Drosophila melanogaster: one gene and its partner. The protein of the gene in region 2 interacts with the protein of the main gene of each other region in a biochemical or structural test. Each region holds a gene or a part of one and is shown on either strand. Other genes may lie near its edges.

Region 1 (9,831 bases), 1.9 Mb from region 2:
AACTCTCTTTCTTGGGTCTCTTCCCTCTCGTCTGTGTTTGTATTTGTGTGTGTTTTATAAAGTCATTCAGTTTTTCTTTTTTTTTTTAATAGTACTTACTCTTGATTACGTTTATAGTTGGAACGCCTTTATGGGTCCACTCTCTCCTCTCCACCGCTCCCCCCCCCCTTTCACCGCGATAAGAATTGTCGTTGCCAGGCGAAGACTGGAAGACCAGACCTCGTCATCATCGCTGCGAGAAGAATCGGAATCTGAACGGGGAGACCGGCTCGAGAGGCCAGGTCCAAAGTCCGGGTCCATTAACATCTTTACACACGGAGGCCCCCCCCCCTTTGGAAGTGTACACACCTTGCGGTTGGCATTTCCATTACATTGGGGGCTGTCCAATGACGATCGTTACCTCCATGATCATCGAACGGACCGACAAACGATCGATGCATTGCACTTACACAGAGGATCTACCCATCAAGAAAGTTAATCAGCGAAGATTTACTTATCATGATGGCATCAAGTCTTCAATCGGAAGAATCGGATTTACCTATCAATATCAATATGGTATCAAGAGTCCTACAATTGTGTTGTAGAGCACAAGGAGTAGATTTACTTATCAAAATATCAATAATGATTCTTCTATCGAAAAGAACCAATAAGACAATCATGGCTATTAATGAATGTTATTTGAAAATGGAATTTTTTGCGCTCATAATACGGAGAATTGGTCTAAGCTTTTCAAATTCGATAAGAATTGCGCATTTCTAGGTATTCTACTAGTTACCAGTTACAATTATTAAAATCTAAGTTATTTTGAAAGTAATTTTCAAAAGTGATTGATTTTACTTTGTACCAATTTTTTCTCCTTGTGCATGCCGCATTAGTTAGACTGCGGTTTCGGAACCCGTCGAGCAAGTCATGGGTTCCATGGGTTCCACAAGAAATACCAATACCTCAGCGAAGCCCTCTTCTGGCCAGACCGAACTCATGAATATTTTCAAACCAAATGCATTTCGCAAAACTCAAAATTATGCCAAGTATGCTGGGTCTGGTTATGGGCCTGGACCTGAGATTGATTCCCCAGGCACCAGGCGTTCAAACTGGAACCTAGTCCAGACTTTGGACAGACACCTGAGCCCCTGGCATGTTCCTCTGGTCGGGAGCGCAAATTAAAGCGATCGGCCAGACGTGGAGCATACAAATGAGATGGTGGAGCATCAGGGGAGAATCCGCAAAGGAAGTGGAGTGGCGAAGCCAAACGAAATGAAAAGGAAACTCCGAGAAGCCGACGTCGACGTTTTGCCCAATCTACAAGACGGATAATTGCACGGCCATTAACGCCGTCATTATCGACAGGGACAGAGTCACAAGTCCACTGGGCGACAGTGCGGCTCAAGAAAGTGGGAACTTAAAACTGGAACTGGGCCAAATGGGCAAGCAGAAGTAGTTCCCATACGTCATTGTAACTAACAACTAAAGAAAAATGTAGGTATTATCTAGCCAGCTAATATTTGTAACTGAAGTGTGCGCTGAAACATTTAGTTGATATACATTTATGAAGCACATGGTTTTAGCAGCGATTTCCGATTTCGAGCAAAACGCACTTTAATATCACATGTTCGGAAACATTGTGTACATACATACATACATATAGCCTTATCTGGGCAGCAAGTGCTCCATAAATTCATTCGCTGCAGCGACTGAACTCTACACTGAACTCGAAATAAATCAGCGGACCGTACAGTGCTGTCCCGATAAGGCGCCTAATCAGATAGGGGGCAGAAGGAGCTACAGCGCTCCTCCTTCTCCCCCCACCCCCTTCCGCTCATCATCGAGTGGCAGAGGCAAAAATAATTAAAAGAAATTCGTTGGCAATTCTCTTGTTCTTCGTTCCAGTTTTGCGTTGGTTCTTTTTATTAATATTTAATATTATCAATCTAGTTGTTTAGAGCAAACATTATGGCTAGGTTCTCCATACAAGTGTGTGAGGGGAGAGGGGGGGGGTGTTGTGTTATATATATATATATATATGTATGGATATATATTAGGCATAATTCATTTTCATTAGCAATTAAACATCATCTGGTTGGGCTCCCAGCGAGCGTACAATGGAATTTAAATAGATATAGAAATAGCATTAGGTATTATATTACGTATACGTACAGCTAAACCGCACTATGCCAACCGTGTGCGTGTGTTTCTCTCTATATGTATATATATCATATATCTGCGTATATGTTAGGCATATATAGGTGTGTGTGTATATATTTATAATGTATTATTCAATGCATGCGTGGCACTTTAGCACAGCTAAAATTGACGAAAAAAAAACGCTCTCTTCTGACTCCCGGATCTCTGCGACTACTATATCTTATAACTAGGATTGGTGAGGGCTATACTTCAAATAAATATTTACAAAGCAGGTGGCGCAGGAGGAGGCGGACTTCTTGGGCGTGCGTTCGAATAACCTTCTCCACTTTAAATGATCCTCTATGGAAGTACTACTCGTATCGGCTAGTACACTCAATGAAATAGTACGCAATAAAAAAAAAAAAAGAATTTATAAAATACATTATAAAATGGGCGGCGTGGGTGGTAGGTAGAGGGGTATCTTAGGTGGTGAGCGTGCGTGAAAGAGGATAATATCTAGCTATAGATAGATATAATTGTAGATGAGCTGCTGTTTCTCCACTACTGAGACGACACCGCCGGCGCCCGTTTGCTTTTGGCCACATGTGGCAAGGCAACAACGGGCTTGTTGTTGCTGGTGGAGCTGGTGGTAGTGGTGGTAGTGGTGCTAGTGGTGGTTCCAAATGGCGAACAGGCGTCACTGCTGCTGCCACCAGACTGCTCCACATTCGTGCCCATCGACGAGTTAATAAAATTGATGTACTGATGCAACTTGAGGGCGGCTATCAGGGAGCTCAGATAGTCGTTGATGTTGCCCTTCTGGACCTGCTTGATCTGTCGGGAGACATTTCGATAGACGCGACGCGAGATCTTATTGGATAGCCGTCCAACTGTCTGTACTGTGTGTAGGACTGGATCCTCGCTGGCGGGAACTGGCACTACAAGTAAATTGAGCAAAGGCAATCACCATTAACGAGGGAAGCAAGCAATTGTAATTTGAGTATTTGTTACGGGTTATAAACAAGTCATTGATTGATTAGTAACTTTGGCGCTGTGTGGGCTTGTGTGTGCTTACCATAAACTTGTTGAGTTCCCTATCGATAATGCCTACGATCTCTGGATTTCTTCTAACGTACTCAACAATTTCGGTTATGATTTTCAGGGACATGGACAGAAATACCGTCGAGGCGGCCACTAAGAATCTATCATCAATCTCTTGATCGTGATCCCGGTCGTAGCTCTCCCCAACAATAATAACTAACAAATGGCACAGAGAAAGAGAGATAGAGAGAGAGAGAGATATTAATTTAGAAAATAAGTGTCACTTTTTGGTGGGGGTTGGGTGGTTAATTAATGTTAGGGGCGGGGAAAGGACCAGGATCAGGATCTGGGTTTCGGAAATCCCAAGGCTAGCCAACATTTATCGCTCGACTCGAAATCGTAAATATTTCTGTATATTATATTCCCATTTTGTTCTCGTTTTGTGTGTGAAATTATCGCCATGCTTGATTAGTGTTCATGCTTTTTTATTTACTTGCTATTTTTATGCTTATTAGACGGTGTGTTAGTGGTAGACAAAGAAACAAACGATCGAACGAACAAAAGATCGGATCGGGGATCGGGAACTTACTGTCATTTTCAGAACTCTTGCCATTCTGCACGACGGCATTTTGTTTATCATCTGAGAATTAAAAATATTTACGATTTATATTTAGAATTTTGTTTACACACCGCGCAAAAAAAAGTGAGGGCAGCAGAAGGCAAACAAGCTAATTTTAAATTTTTGTGCCAACAGATGAAAAATGGTACGGAGCCAATAAATAATGTTCTCCACCATCATCCAGAGTTCTTAAATAAAACTGAATTCTAAACTTATTCGCTCTGAAGACAGTATTTTTAATTTTTAGAAAGAAGTGTCAAAGAGAATATATATAAAAATTATAATGGAAGTACGACAGGACAAGACTATTAATTCAAGTGAAGTCAAAATGATCTTATGAATTTGATATTAAATAAATTAAAAAAGTAGTTTTAAACGTAATGAAATGTACAACAAGATTTCAATTAAGTTGCATCAACTAACTTATATTATATTAAATTTTACGTCATGGCAATTGAGAGATTCCAAGTGAAACCACTGTTCTACGGCTCCAATGAACAAATATATAAACAAAAGTACCCTAACATTGTGACCTACTTTTTTGTAACTCTACCGTCAACACTCACCATTATCTTCCTCGACATCCGACTCGCACTTGGGGAAGTAGTATTCAAGGAGGCGCTCGGCCAGCGCCGTGGTGGTGTCCACTCCGTTGACAGCCAGACTGCCGTACTGGGTGGCCAGCACCTCGTTGGCCTTCTGCCAGGCGAGATCCTTCAGCGAGGCGGCCTTCTGCTGACCAGCTGCCTTGAACTTGACGACGCGCTCCAGATGGGGCTGCACCACATCGATCACCTTGCTCTTGGCCTGGTTGTAGATCTCCTGGGGTGTGTCCTTGATGATCGGCGCCTTTACCTCAAGCTTATCGATGCCCTTGACCAGGGTCTGGTCCACATAGGCGATGGGTCGGTCCAGTTTGGTGACGAAGGGAGCCGCCGTTGTCACCGCGCGCGTCACACAATCCTCGGCCGCCGTTAAAGCCCATTCGAAGACACGATTTTTGCCTGAAAATATGAGTAGTTCACATTACGATGAAAAATACGGATTGGAAATTATATGTCTTAGTATAAGTTTAATTTAAAAGTTAACAGCCTGTTTAATTTAGAGATCTAGAACTTCTAGAATTTCTAGAATTGTGTAGTAATACCCCACACATGTGACACAAGTACGAAGAGCGCGCTTATCAGTTGCAACCGTAATAATAATAACAATAACAATAATAATAGTAATAATAAATATGTAGCATTTCTGGCTGATAAGCAACTGCGCAGTTCACGAACCCCAGGGCCCCTTGGACCCCTACATTCTATCTGTCTGGGGCCCGCCAGTTTAGACTTTGATAGTTCGTCACTCGTCAAACACATCATCCATTCCAATTCCAGTCCCAGCAACTGCAGCAACAACAACTGCGAAATATCACAAACAAGTCGAAAGTCCAACTAGAATTTTTGTTGTCGTTGCTGCTGACGGTGAGACCCCAAGAGCCCCTTAGCATAAGTGCTGCCCGCTTTAGTTAGTTTCCAGCCAAATCTAGCTTTATTCGACAGCGGTAATTGGTATTGTCTAGTAAATGCATTAAGTATTTGTTTTTTCAGGGATCTGTGCTTTTACGATCGGCAAACTTAGGCTGGGATCAATATTGAGAAGAAAACTAGTAACATTATTTTAGCTATAATTAAAGTGCAAGTTTAGCTTAACTTTTGGTCAGATCGAGCAGCACTGCCAGTGCCAGTGGCGTTGCCATTGGGTCTGCTTTGCTTTTCCTCTTGTCAAAACGAGCCCCCTTTTGTTGACGGCGCCTCTGCGGCTGCAGCCTACGTGCGGTGGCCTTTTTGCCGTCAGCCACCGCTCTCTCTCTCCTCACTCTATCTCTCTTGCGCTCTCTATTGCGTTGGCCAAGATTGTTTTATTATTATGTAAATTTTAAGCGAACTTTGAACGCAACGCGTCACGAGGGCAAAGTGCCGGCCTTTTTGCTTTTCTTATTGCTAGGTCATGGTTGTTGTTGCTGTGATTTCGATTATTGAACGACCGGCAATCAATTTATATCAATTGAGCTTAATTTCTGGCCAATTAAACGAAAAAAAAGTTGAACAAAAAAAAGTTGTTTCTGCCCTCTATGTGCGTTTCGAGTTCGAATTGCAACTCGAAATAAAATGGCGAAGCAAAGTCAAAAAAGCAACGGTTTCGGTTTCGATTACGGCTTCGAGTGCATATGGTCGCTGCAATTGTTGTTGCTATTTACCTCCTCCTTCACCGGTCGTTTATTCTCTATATGTGCCGTTAGGCGCGCCAAAGTAACGGGACTTGAGCGAGTTCAATGCACCCGGAGGAGGTCTTATTTTCATTTTCTTCTGTTTTCCTTTGCTGCACTTACCTTTTACTTTGCCATAGACATCCTGGGACTTGTCCCATGCCGCATTTACCACGGGCAATTTGATGATCCTCTCGAGGGACTCAAGGTGCGGCAGAAGGTCCTTGGCATCCTTGGGCTGGTCCACATCGTTCATCGCCGTTCCATTGCCAGTTGTTCCGTTCCCGGTGGCGTGTTTCTGCTCTGCACTGGCCATGATCAGTTTTCTTTGGTTCCTCTTGCGCTGCTTTCTGCTGCCCTTTTCACTTTTTCTTTCTGTCTTTCGCTATCAAGCTCTTCCGCTTGCCACCGCACTTTTCTTTTCGCCTCTTGCTTCTTTTCTTTCACGAACAAAAAAACAGCTTAACCTGCGAGTGAGTGTGTGAATGTAGGGTATGCGTGTGTCTGCGTTCTGGAAGCACTCTGTTTTATTTTATTCCTAGCACTTTTTGGCACGTCTGCTCACGTCTGCTCGTTGGGACTCTCTGACTGATTTGCGAGCTGCGCGGCTGGTTTATTATATGAGCGAGTGCCGCCGCCAGTGTTGCCAGCGCCGAGCAACAAAAAGCTATGAGCAACAGTGATGCCGCAGGTGGCAAGAAGTGGATGAGGAAATTTTAGTCAAATAGCTAAAAAGTACAGTTTTTACCAATAGAGCTTACTTTTTGTTCAAACCGCAGTGTGTTTTTTCCAAGATTTATGCCTAGTCAAGGGTCATGTGGCTATAATACACTTTGTATTATTAAAATTTAACCATGAGCTTTGACAAGCACGATTACTACAAAATATAATTATAATATTAAAATCTTCGAACTTGTGTACTTAACCATACACAAATTTGTTTATCAAAAATGTTGAGTAATAAATAATAATAATGTAATAAAATATCGCAGACAGTGAAAAAACAGTGCTAAACAAATAAAAAGGTTAAAATAACCAAATAATATAAATGAGCTTAGGAACATTTCTTTGCAACATATATCTTGAAAATAGCTAGATCGTTTGCTGCTGTAAGATAGCTTCGCTGCGAAGAGAGCAGAGCGCCAAAGCAGTATCAGCGAGAGTTTGAGATTAGGACTCTCTTTGAGGACCCCATATACAGTTTGTCAAGAAACTGTTTACATACTGTGAAATAAGTTGAATTTTTGACTTTAAAGCTAAAATTAAAGGTTTTTTGCTTAATTAAACGCAATTTTTTTTATAAAATTTAATTAAACAATATTTATTTTACTTATAAATCAAAAAACAAATATTAAAATATTAAATATACAAGAAAATAAACAACATAATCCAAGTTTACACACCTTTGAGACTGTCAAGAAACTCTTTACACATTTTGTTTTCCTACTTTGTTTTGTTCTTTTTCTTAGAACGAACTCGATTTTTCCGTTATTTTTGGCTTTGCATTGCTTTTTACAACGCTTCTAATGAAATTTGTTTGACTTTGCTTGAAGCGAATTATTATTTTATATTTAATTAAATTATATTTAATTTATTTTTTGATTTATAAGTAAAATAAATACTGTTTAATTTTATTTTATACAAAAATTGCGTTTAATTAAGCAAAAAACACTTAATTTTTAGCTTTAAAGTCAAAAATTCAACTTATTTCACAGTGTGTAAACAGTTTCTTGACAAACTGTAATTATAATATGAATAAATGTACTATAGTTTTTGAACAGTACACTTAAATTGTTATGATGAATTATTATAGTACAAACGCTTTGTTTGAAATAAGTACAATTGTGTACTATATCTGTTTTAAATGAAACTTAAAATAGTTTTGAAACAATTTTCATTATCTTTATTTTCGAGGTAAAACATAATTAGAAAATCAGGTGAAAGAATGTACCATTATCAAATTATAAACAATTCTTCTATCATGATCAAACTAATTTTGATCATTTTTTCCCGATCTATGCAGAGTTCATAGTGCAATTCTTCTGTGTTGTCCTTGGAGGGGGGTCCAATTATTCTGTTCAGAAAACAAGAGAGCTGAAGAGAAAGAAAGAAATTTGGGAAAAGAAGAGAGACAGTGCCTACGTTTGTTCGGCATGCTTGACAACTAGATTAATTAATACGTTGTGTCGGGCGCAAACAAAGTTTAGATTGAAGTACATTGCAATATATATTTATGTACATATATGTGCATACGTACATATGTATTTCTGTGTATGGGGGCACTTCGATTATCAATGGCCAATGGGCAACGCCACGCAAAAGCTTCGTGCGACCTTTGAACCCCTGCCACCGCATCGATAATACGCCATTGCACAGTCAAACATCTACATTCAGTATTCTACGTAATACTTGCCGAATGCTGTGTAATTCGCTTGGCAATCCAAAGTCCGATTAGTGACAAAACGAAAACAAATTACGAAAACTACAAGCGCGAAACGTGCTAAGTTAACCCCTAAAACGAAGCACCATCCTCCTTTTTTTTTAAACCATCCATCAGCACGTTTTTAGTCCCTAAAATCTACAATAAGTTCATAAAGGAATAATTTCCTTGAGTTAGATGAAGAGTTAATGAAAACTTTGGAAAATAACCTTATTCGCTTGGATTTCAATTAGATCCCAAAAAACCCAAGGGATCAAAATATTCTCCATCTTTCGAAACACCTAGATTCCAAAAATCCAAAATGGGTTAATGCCCCTCAGTGAATTATGAGCTATATAAGGCAATTATGTCTGTCTGATAAGGCTTAACCGCTAATGCGCATATTAACCAGGCCCACGAGTTGGGAAGGTTACCAATGGCTAGTCGTCCGTAGTTCCAAAGTCCGGAGATGTCGTCACAACACTGTTTATGTTGTAACCAAGAGCAGGTGTTGGACTTATCGTCACTACTTGGTCCGGGTTCCGATCGGCGATATCGGACGTAAATAAACCAATGTAACCGATTCGTTCAGTTTGTTGTACTTATTTTAGTTTTTTATGTGGACTTTGTAGGCGTGGTATCTGGAAATTACAGTAAACGAAGGAAATCACTTCAACCATGTTTACCTAACTGATTTCACTAGCTGATAATGAAGATTACTGGAATGAATAAATATTGGACGGTTTGTAACGAGTATATTACGAAGCTATTTCATATTTTCTTTTTACAGATAAATAGGTTGATCAAGGTGAATAATTTTGAAATGAAATGTTAAGATTAAATTACGTTTTAGTAGGTTGAGCAAAAAAGTATTTATAATTAAAAAAAAAAAAAACTGTTGGAAATGCTCAAATCATTGATTTCCTCAGCTTTTTATATGGATGTACATATGTATGTATATACATCAACAGAAGTTATATGGAATCGGAATAATCCGCTCAAGACCTGCATATAGAGCCGATTAGCAGTTGGCCGCACGTAGACAAGCCCCAGACCGAATACTATATGCTCAACAGTGTATGTATACATATATAAATGTATATACATATGAATATATGTATATATACATACATACATATATATACCGTTATCGAGACCCAAAGCGTGTCCGTCTGCGGGTATTTTCCCAAACGGTTGAGCCTAGAATTTCATTGGATTCCGGTATTTTGGCACCTAGTGCCAAATTTTAGAAGCCTCGGCATGATCTATATATAGAAGGAGGAAACATTCAGGTAATGATGGCATATATTGGACTTTGGATCAGCGGCGTGAGTGAGTTCCTCTATATACACATGTATGTACACACATGTGAAAGGC
Region 2 (7,435 bases):
CTGGAGCGGAAAATAAAAGAAAGAAATCGAAATCGAATCGAACTGAACTGAACTGAAATGCACTATACAGAAATGCCTCTATACTATGCCAGGAGGAAGAACGCCAGAGAAGAGGCCACCTCATCGGTTCCTGAATCACAGTGGATTATTCAGGAGCGGTACACTCAATTCTACAGGCACGATCACAAAAAGAGATCAAATGTGTGTAACAATATGATATAAAGATCACTTTTTAAACAATAATTACAAAAGTAAATACAATGTTTCCTAAAGTTTTTAGCAAAAGTACTCAATTAAACTCTCAACAAGACGTCATCAAAAGGTGACTGAATCGAAAATATATGCATAATTTAAACGATATTAAACTTGACTGCAAACATCATACGTAATTACAGCTTCCAATGAATTGTGCATATTTTTCGAACCAATAAATCTTGGTCATTCGCCCTTAGCATGGAAATTAATTATGGCACCCACTGTTGTACTGAAAATTTCTCGATGAAAAGAGGAAACAAAATTTAAAGGCTCAAATGCGGCAACACGATCGTTACAAAGAGCATTTCTGATTTCTGCAAGGGTAGGTGGTGGGCGATCGAGGGCATATAAATCTTGATAAATACGGACAACCACACCCACACCTTTTGTAAAATATTATATATATTTATGCCCAAAAATGTGTCAGCTGTTTGCTCCTTTTGCACAATGAAACGAGAGCGAAAGCGGAAAAAGAAACAAGACATCTGTGTGCGCCTAGAATGAGGTGGATATCCAACAAAGATAAGAAAGAAAGACTAAATTCGCAGAATGTGCAAGCGATTTGTACAAAAATTTTGTGTAATAATACATGAGTTTCCCAAGTTTGAATCATTTCTATTGAGACACACGACACGAGGCAAATGTCTTCGCACTTTGAGACCAGAATAGCCTCTATAAGGCGAACCAGCCAGAGATATGTATAAACGCTGAAAATCGACAAAAACTGGACACGTCAGGCGGTCGAGAAGACCTCCGCGGATGTGCACCTGGACCAGATAAACGCAGGTTGAATAAACTGCCTCCAAATACATATTTCTGTATATTTAATATTTAACTCTCTGGCTTATCAGTCCGGCAAGCAGCGAAGTCTGGCGATGCGATTCGTCTCCGTTCTCTGCGAAATCCGGCTGTCCACCTCATCTGTATCTGTGGCATTCGTCATTGTGCATCGGGATTCGAGTATAGTAGTCTACGTACAATTAGACAGCAGGCAAATATCAGCGGAACGGATATATGTATGTACAGGGGGTATGGTATGGTATGGTATATGCCCATGGAAACATAACAACATTGGTACCCATGCCCTCCATATGCTTAGCAGCTGATAAGGAACGATAAGAGCCATGAGATGGGGTAAAAACCCGATTAGCAAAAGCGGAAAGCAAACATTGTTTGAGTAATTGGCAAAAATATTCGCTATGACAAGAACGGATTACTCAATGAAGCCGGGAAATGAGGAGGGTTCTTGAAGGAGCTACACTGGAAATGATTTCCATTACCTACTATTTGTTTTACAAATTGGTCATAATATCAATATATTTTTGTATTGTATATTTCCATCCTTGGCATACAAACAAATAGTTTCTCGCGTGGAAAATTGCAACTCCTCTCGTTTTATTTCTCAATTTCCTATTAAATCAATATTTTATTAACAGAAAGTCGTCGACAAATTTGAGAGGCTTCAAGTGCTTTCCTAGGAATCTAGATTCTCCCAATTTGTTTGTTTCAATAGTCGCACATTTGCCCCTCCAGCTTCGGATAATGTTCACTTCTGGTGGAATTAGGTGCAAAACGAGTTTGTTTACTTAATTCATTTGTTGCCAGGCCGGGCTTGAGCCATTGTTGGATCAACTTGCAAACACTGGGCCAAAATGAGTGCAGGTAATTTAAAATTGCCACAAAAAATGTCATTCATTTTGAACTTGAATATGAAAATATTTGCTTATGCTAGTATTTAGAGATCTTCTATCTTCTCTGATAGGAATTGAAACATTCGATTGCCCATTTGAAAAAGAGCCTGAATTAATTTTTGTGTTAATTCAATCAGAAGATTTCTCACAGTGTACGATGAGAGTGCATAAAAGGCGAGACAGGTAGAAAACCGAGAAGGTGGCGATTTTCGAGCTGGCAAACTTGAAACTTGGCTGGCCAATTGAAAGGAAAACTTGGCGCAGCAAGGCACGGCGCCGAGGAAAAACAAATTCGCGGAAATGTGAAATAGACGAAACGTGAGAACAGCAACAAAGTCAACAAAAGCGTGCAATTGCTCAATGGCAATAAACAAAAGACGAAAGCAGAACAAAAATAGTACTAAAACACACGGCGAATAATGATAATTCAAGAGCGAGAGTTTTTAATGGGATTCGGCCAACTTTTGACGCCCCATCGATTTGGCATTGTGGTAGTTACCATTATTTGTTTACCATTATTTTTAATCGAAAAAGTGGTGTATCCTATTTGAAAACTTTTTTTTTGAAATTAACCTTTCTTGGAATTGAAAACAATCCGATTGCACTCTTTTCTATTGGATTGATCAATGCCTATATATGTATCATTAATATCTCTATACAGGGTCTGCCTGCGTAATTTTGAGTTCTGATGTATGGGGTCATACCAGAAACTAGCTGTTTCCCGAGCGCAATAAAACTAGTTATTAGATCTTTTAGCCCTTCCCGCAGATTCCTACGATCAAGGATTGTGACTATGACTATGCGATGACTGTGCATCTCGACTCACCTTTAACTGTAGCGCTAGTCTGGTAATCAAAATACTTGGGAGACTCGCGCTTTAAGAACTCGATGATATCGGAGCGGTCTAGTGTGCCCGCCTGGCGCTTGAGGCGCCACTCCTTGAGCGGCGAACTGCACTCGGCAGGGGGCGCCACAACGACGTCCTCCATGTCGTAGCGATCCATCGTTGCTCTCGCTTGCACTCGCACTGTCTCCTCTCTTTTTCTCTTTCCTGGTGAGGATGAGAAAAACAAAATAATTGCAGCGGGGCTGTGTATGTTCGTGTGTGCGATGGGGACGTCTCGCTCTCTATCTTTCTTCCTTTCTCTATCGTCCGTGTGTCCTTGCTATTCCTGCGACAGTAGTTGTTGTTGCTGATGTTGTTGTTGCATTGGTTGTCACATGTGTTTTTTGCGAAAAGCAAAAAAAACGGGATTAGGTTAGGATGCGGGACAACAAAAATGTTCGATTGCGCTCTCGCTCTCATGTCGTAGAAGAATTTTCGATTCTTGTTTTGGAGCACAGACACTTACTTGTTAATAAAGAAATTATATTTTTACAACAGTGTCGAAATTTACAAAAGCTGACAATTCAATCGAGGAAAAATTTGTGTACGAATGGCGAGGAAACACTTAGTGTGCAGCTGTTGCTTTGCACTTTTTCCTTTGTATCAGCCAGTTGTGATTTTTTTTATTTCATTTTTGACAGCAAGCAAAAGCAAAAAAAAAAGAGAGACGGAGCGCATGGCAAAACGCGAGAAACAGTAACTTCAAACACACGCACACACATGCACGGCCACGGGCACTATTTTTGGTTTTATTATATTTTTATAATAATCGTTTATTATCTACAATTTTCCTTTTGGTTGCCTTTACGTGCGCTTAGCACCTTAAAAAAATAGCTTCTCTTTTTCTTTATTTTTCACTTTCTGACAATCACACACACGAACACGCACACCAACTTAAATTCACTCTACTGCGTTTCGCTTTCGTTTTCTTATTTTCCCAAACTTTTGCACGTACCTATTTCTTTTTTTGTTTGGCTCGTGGTGTATTCACGAGCAATTTAGACCTGTGTTGTTAGTTAAATCTACTTATTTCAACTGGCACAACGAAGATTCGTCTGCCAATTTCGTAACCTAAACGCAAAAAAACAAGACTGTCATCGATATAAGCAGGCGTTTTATGTCTGCGTCTATCGGGCAATACGGTACGTCGATATCTGGTCGTGCTAACATCGATAGCATGCGAGCGGTAATAGTGAGTGCACACTACGAAGTTGCTCATCAATCGCTATCGATAAGAAATCCATTTTCCGCCATTCAGTTATGTATATGGTAATTGAAATTGTTTTCCATTTGTCAAAATAAAACTAAAGATGATTTCAAATTGTTTGCCTAATGTACACGCTGTATTTACGTTTAGACACTAATTGCAATAAGCAATAGTACATTTTAGGTAAATGTTGTAGTGAAAAAAACCAAATATATCTAAAAGGGATACAATCAATTAAAGACCCAGATTAATTTAAAAGCCCCGAATGCAAAAAACAACAAAATATCAAAACCAGATTTTTCTATTTAATCTTACATACACACAAAAATGTCTTTATTGTTTCGCTTTTTTGGTTTTTTAGTTGCTTTGGATCGCTTTGTTGGTATACTTGTGTCTGTTTGTTGGAAATACATAGTTTTGTTCGTTTTTTCGCTATATCTATTTGGATTCGGTTCGATTTCGGCTTTGAATACTTTATGCTGAGATGTTGTTTTGAAACCAAATCACTTCGTTCAATACTGTCCAGTTTTGGTCTTTTTTGTGTTAGATGGTGTGGTTTCTGTGCTCAACTAAATAATCAGGCATGCTCCGGTAGTCGTAATTTTGTTTCGATTTCGATTTGGGAAAAATCTTTCGATTTCGTTATTAGGTGCTCCGGTTTTGTAAATAGCATTATTTACAAACAACACTTTTGGCCATCCTCTAGATAAGTTATTGAATTCTTTGATATTGTATCTGCCTGTTTCGTTTCACCAACAATATGGAATTCTTCCCAAAAACACTTGTCGATGTACCTATAACTCCTTGCCAAATCGAAACTTTTTGTTGCCGAAGGCAAAATTCTGTTTGACCAATGTTGAGGTGTGGTCAGAAATAAAATTTTTATAAAATAACTAAGTGGCAAAATGATCTTGTGGTGATGTGAAATAAACATCAATAGACCACTGAGTAAACTATTATTTGCCCTTTTGAAAATAAGATCTGATTTGCTAAAAAAAAAAGGCATTTACTTTTCATTTCGGATAGACAAAAGTGTCCGTTTTACAAATCGAAAACTTTCTTACGATTTCGAAAACCGGAGCACAGATTTTTCAAAATAGTTAAATTTGTACGAATTTGATTACCGGAGCATGCCGGAATATGTGGGTTTTCCATCGTTTCCTTTGTACTTTAGGGAAATGAGTTGTATGTTGCAGTTTGTATTTGTTGTTAGCTTTGCGTTTACATTATTTGGTTCCACGTAGTTAATGGCTTTTTGTCGCTTTGGTAGCTTGGAATACATTAAATTCTGCCTTAGCACAATTACATATATAGTTTTCCTTTAGTTTATTATAGAATTGTTGTTTTAAACATTTATAAATATGCATTTATCGTTTAGTTAAGTTTAACATTCATATTTATTCTCGGGTCTGTTTTTGGGCATTCTCTTCATTTGGTTTAGTTAACTTGGGTTTCAAGTGGCTGCGACCCCCCATCGTGTACAACATTTAAAGCTTGACTATATTGTTTTATTTGGATTTCTTAGTTTTAGTTGGATTCCGGAAGTCGGGGGCCTCTCGTCGGTCCCACTACAATAAAATTTCAATTTCAATTTCGATTTCGCTTATTGACGCAACATTTAACACCTAGGCTTTTGACAAGTAAATTCCATTTCAAATATGGAATTCGCAACTTCCTCCTTCCGTTTAATGTTAATGGTAAAAAAATCTAAAAAAAATTGTTTCGCCACTTGTTTTTTTTTCTTGGTTTAGTTCTCGCTAAAGCACACCAATTCCCCCCACATATGTACATATATACATATGTATAAAACATATGTGTCCTGATCCAATGCGATCGATATACATAGGGGGCTTTGCAAGCCTGGGACTTGTCTTTAGTGTGGCACAATCTACGCTCCATCCACTCTCCATATATATATTTAGATTAAAAATTAGATCTGTTTTGGATGCTAGACAGCTGGAAATACCCTGTATCCACAGCATTGAACGTCGAATGAATATGAAGATTAAAGCTTTTGCACACCGAAAGTCGGGAGAGAAGAATCGCATTCGCGATCACGATCGGGATCGGGATGAGTATCAATGGAGTACAGGGTATTTTATAGTCGCCTACTCTCGACTATCACAAACATTCAATGGGGCATTAAGCTTTCAATTCTCCTCTCCAAATTTTTCATGACTACTCACAAACACTTGTTGGCTATTTAAAAGATATTTCCACCATCTTTCATTTGGACTGATTTGTGCAATTGTTTCAATAAGTTTCGAATTCGATTAGCGCGCTCAATTTCGCTTTCACATCTCATTTAAAATTTAATCGTTAATATATACAAAAAAAATAACGTTCAGTCAATTATAACTATATGTTTATACACATCGAAACGAACACGTAAAGAAACAACAATGAGGTCTAAACGAATTACATGCACCATGACACACACATATCGCGCTGCATTCGCCATGCGCCATTAGCAATTAGGTAAATGTAAATCCCCTACATTTGTATCCTTACGTCAAGGACATCGACATCTCGCCGGCATGTTACACCATCGTCACCCCTCTCGCTCCGTCAGTTTGGTTAATTATTTAATACACATATGTTAATAATCAGTCGCATAAATGAATCACCTTGCTTTGGTTTTGTTTCTAATTACTCTGTTTTCTCGATTCGCATTCACACTCGATTCTCGCCGGCGAAATCATATAAACCGAAATATACAGAAACATATATAGTCGAGTTGCCCGACTTTGGTGACTAGTTCTCCACATTTAATGGCTCGTGTCTGAATTAAGTTTTTCGAGTTTATTCTAGGGAAAAAACACGATCTACAAGTTCGAGCTTTTAAAAAAAAAACTATTTCATTAAATGTTCCACCTAAACTAAATAATATTATAAGCATAATAATAATGTTAATAATTTATATCTATACAAAATATTTTGATCCTAGCTCGTATTATAAAAATGACAAATCATTTCCCTAATAATAAACATTTTAAAATGAAATCAATGCCATTTGGATTACAATAAATTTCAAAAGTGCCAAAACATTTTCTCCCAAATCAAAATCTAGCCTACTTTGCCAATAAATTGTACCCATTAATGCCTTTGGAGAATCCACACTTTCACACTAAATGACCTTTCCTCGTTTTCACATTCGTTACAAATTTGCGGAACCTAAGTTTACACGTGAAAATTTATCAAAATTAAATTAATTAGGTTTAACTTTGAGAAGACCTGCAATTGGATACGTTATCCTCATTTTCACTTTCGTCAGCAATCAGCGGGCTTGAATTAAAGACTTTAGACTTCGGTATAAGTTAACAATTAATAAATCTAAATATATATATTTAATACTATATATATTTATATCGATTTTGTAGAATTCGTTAAACAAGT

The links. The genes of interacting proteins can lie anywhere in the genome.
Region 1: the proteins of Ubr1 (region 2) and Lsd-2 form a complex in vitro, tested with the Drosophila melanogaster proteins (one study listed by BioGRID).

What each region holds. Positions count from the first base shown.
Region 1 is NC_004354.4:15,069,590-15,079,420, forward strand, and holds Lsd-2 (lipid storage droplet-2), read right to left. Parts: upstream 6,632-9,831; 5' UTR 6,352-6,631; coding exon 6,159-6,351; intron 4,786-6,158; coding exon 4,348-4,785; intron 3,803-4,347; coding exon 3,752-3,802; intron 3,379-3,751; coding exon of another isoform or gene 3,197-3,378; intron 3,060-3,196; coding exon 2,683-3,059; 3' UTR 1,874-2,682; downstream 1-1,873. UniProt on the Drosophila melanogaster protein: Essential for embryogenesis. Required for normal deposition of neutral lipids in the oocyte.
Region 2 is NC_004354.4:16,964,723-16,972,157, forward strand, and holds the start of Ubr1 (Ubr1 ubiquitin ligase), read right to left. Parts: upstream 3,958-7,435; 5' UTR 3,788-3,957; intron 3,140-3,787; 5' UTR 2,951-3,139; coding exon 2,773-2,950; intron 1-2,772. UniProt on the Drosophila melanogaster protein: E3 ubiquitin-protein ligase which is a component of the N-end rule pathway. Recognizes and binds to proteins bearing specific N-terminal residues that are destabilizing according to the N-end rule, leading to their ubiquitination and subsequent degradation.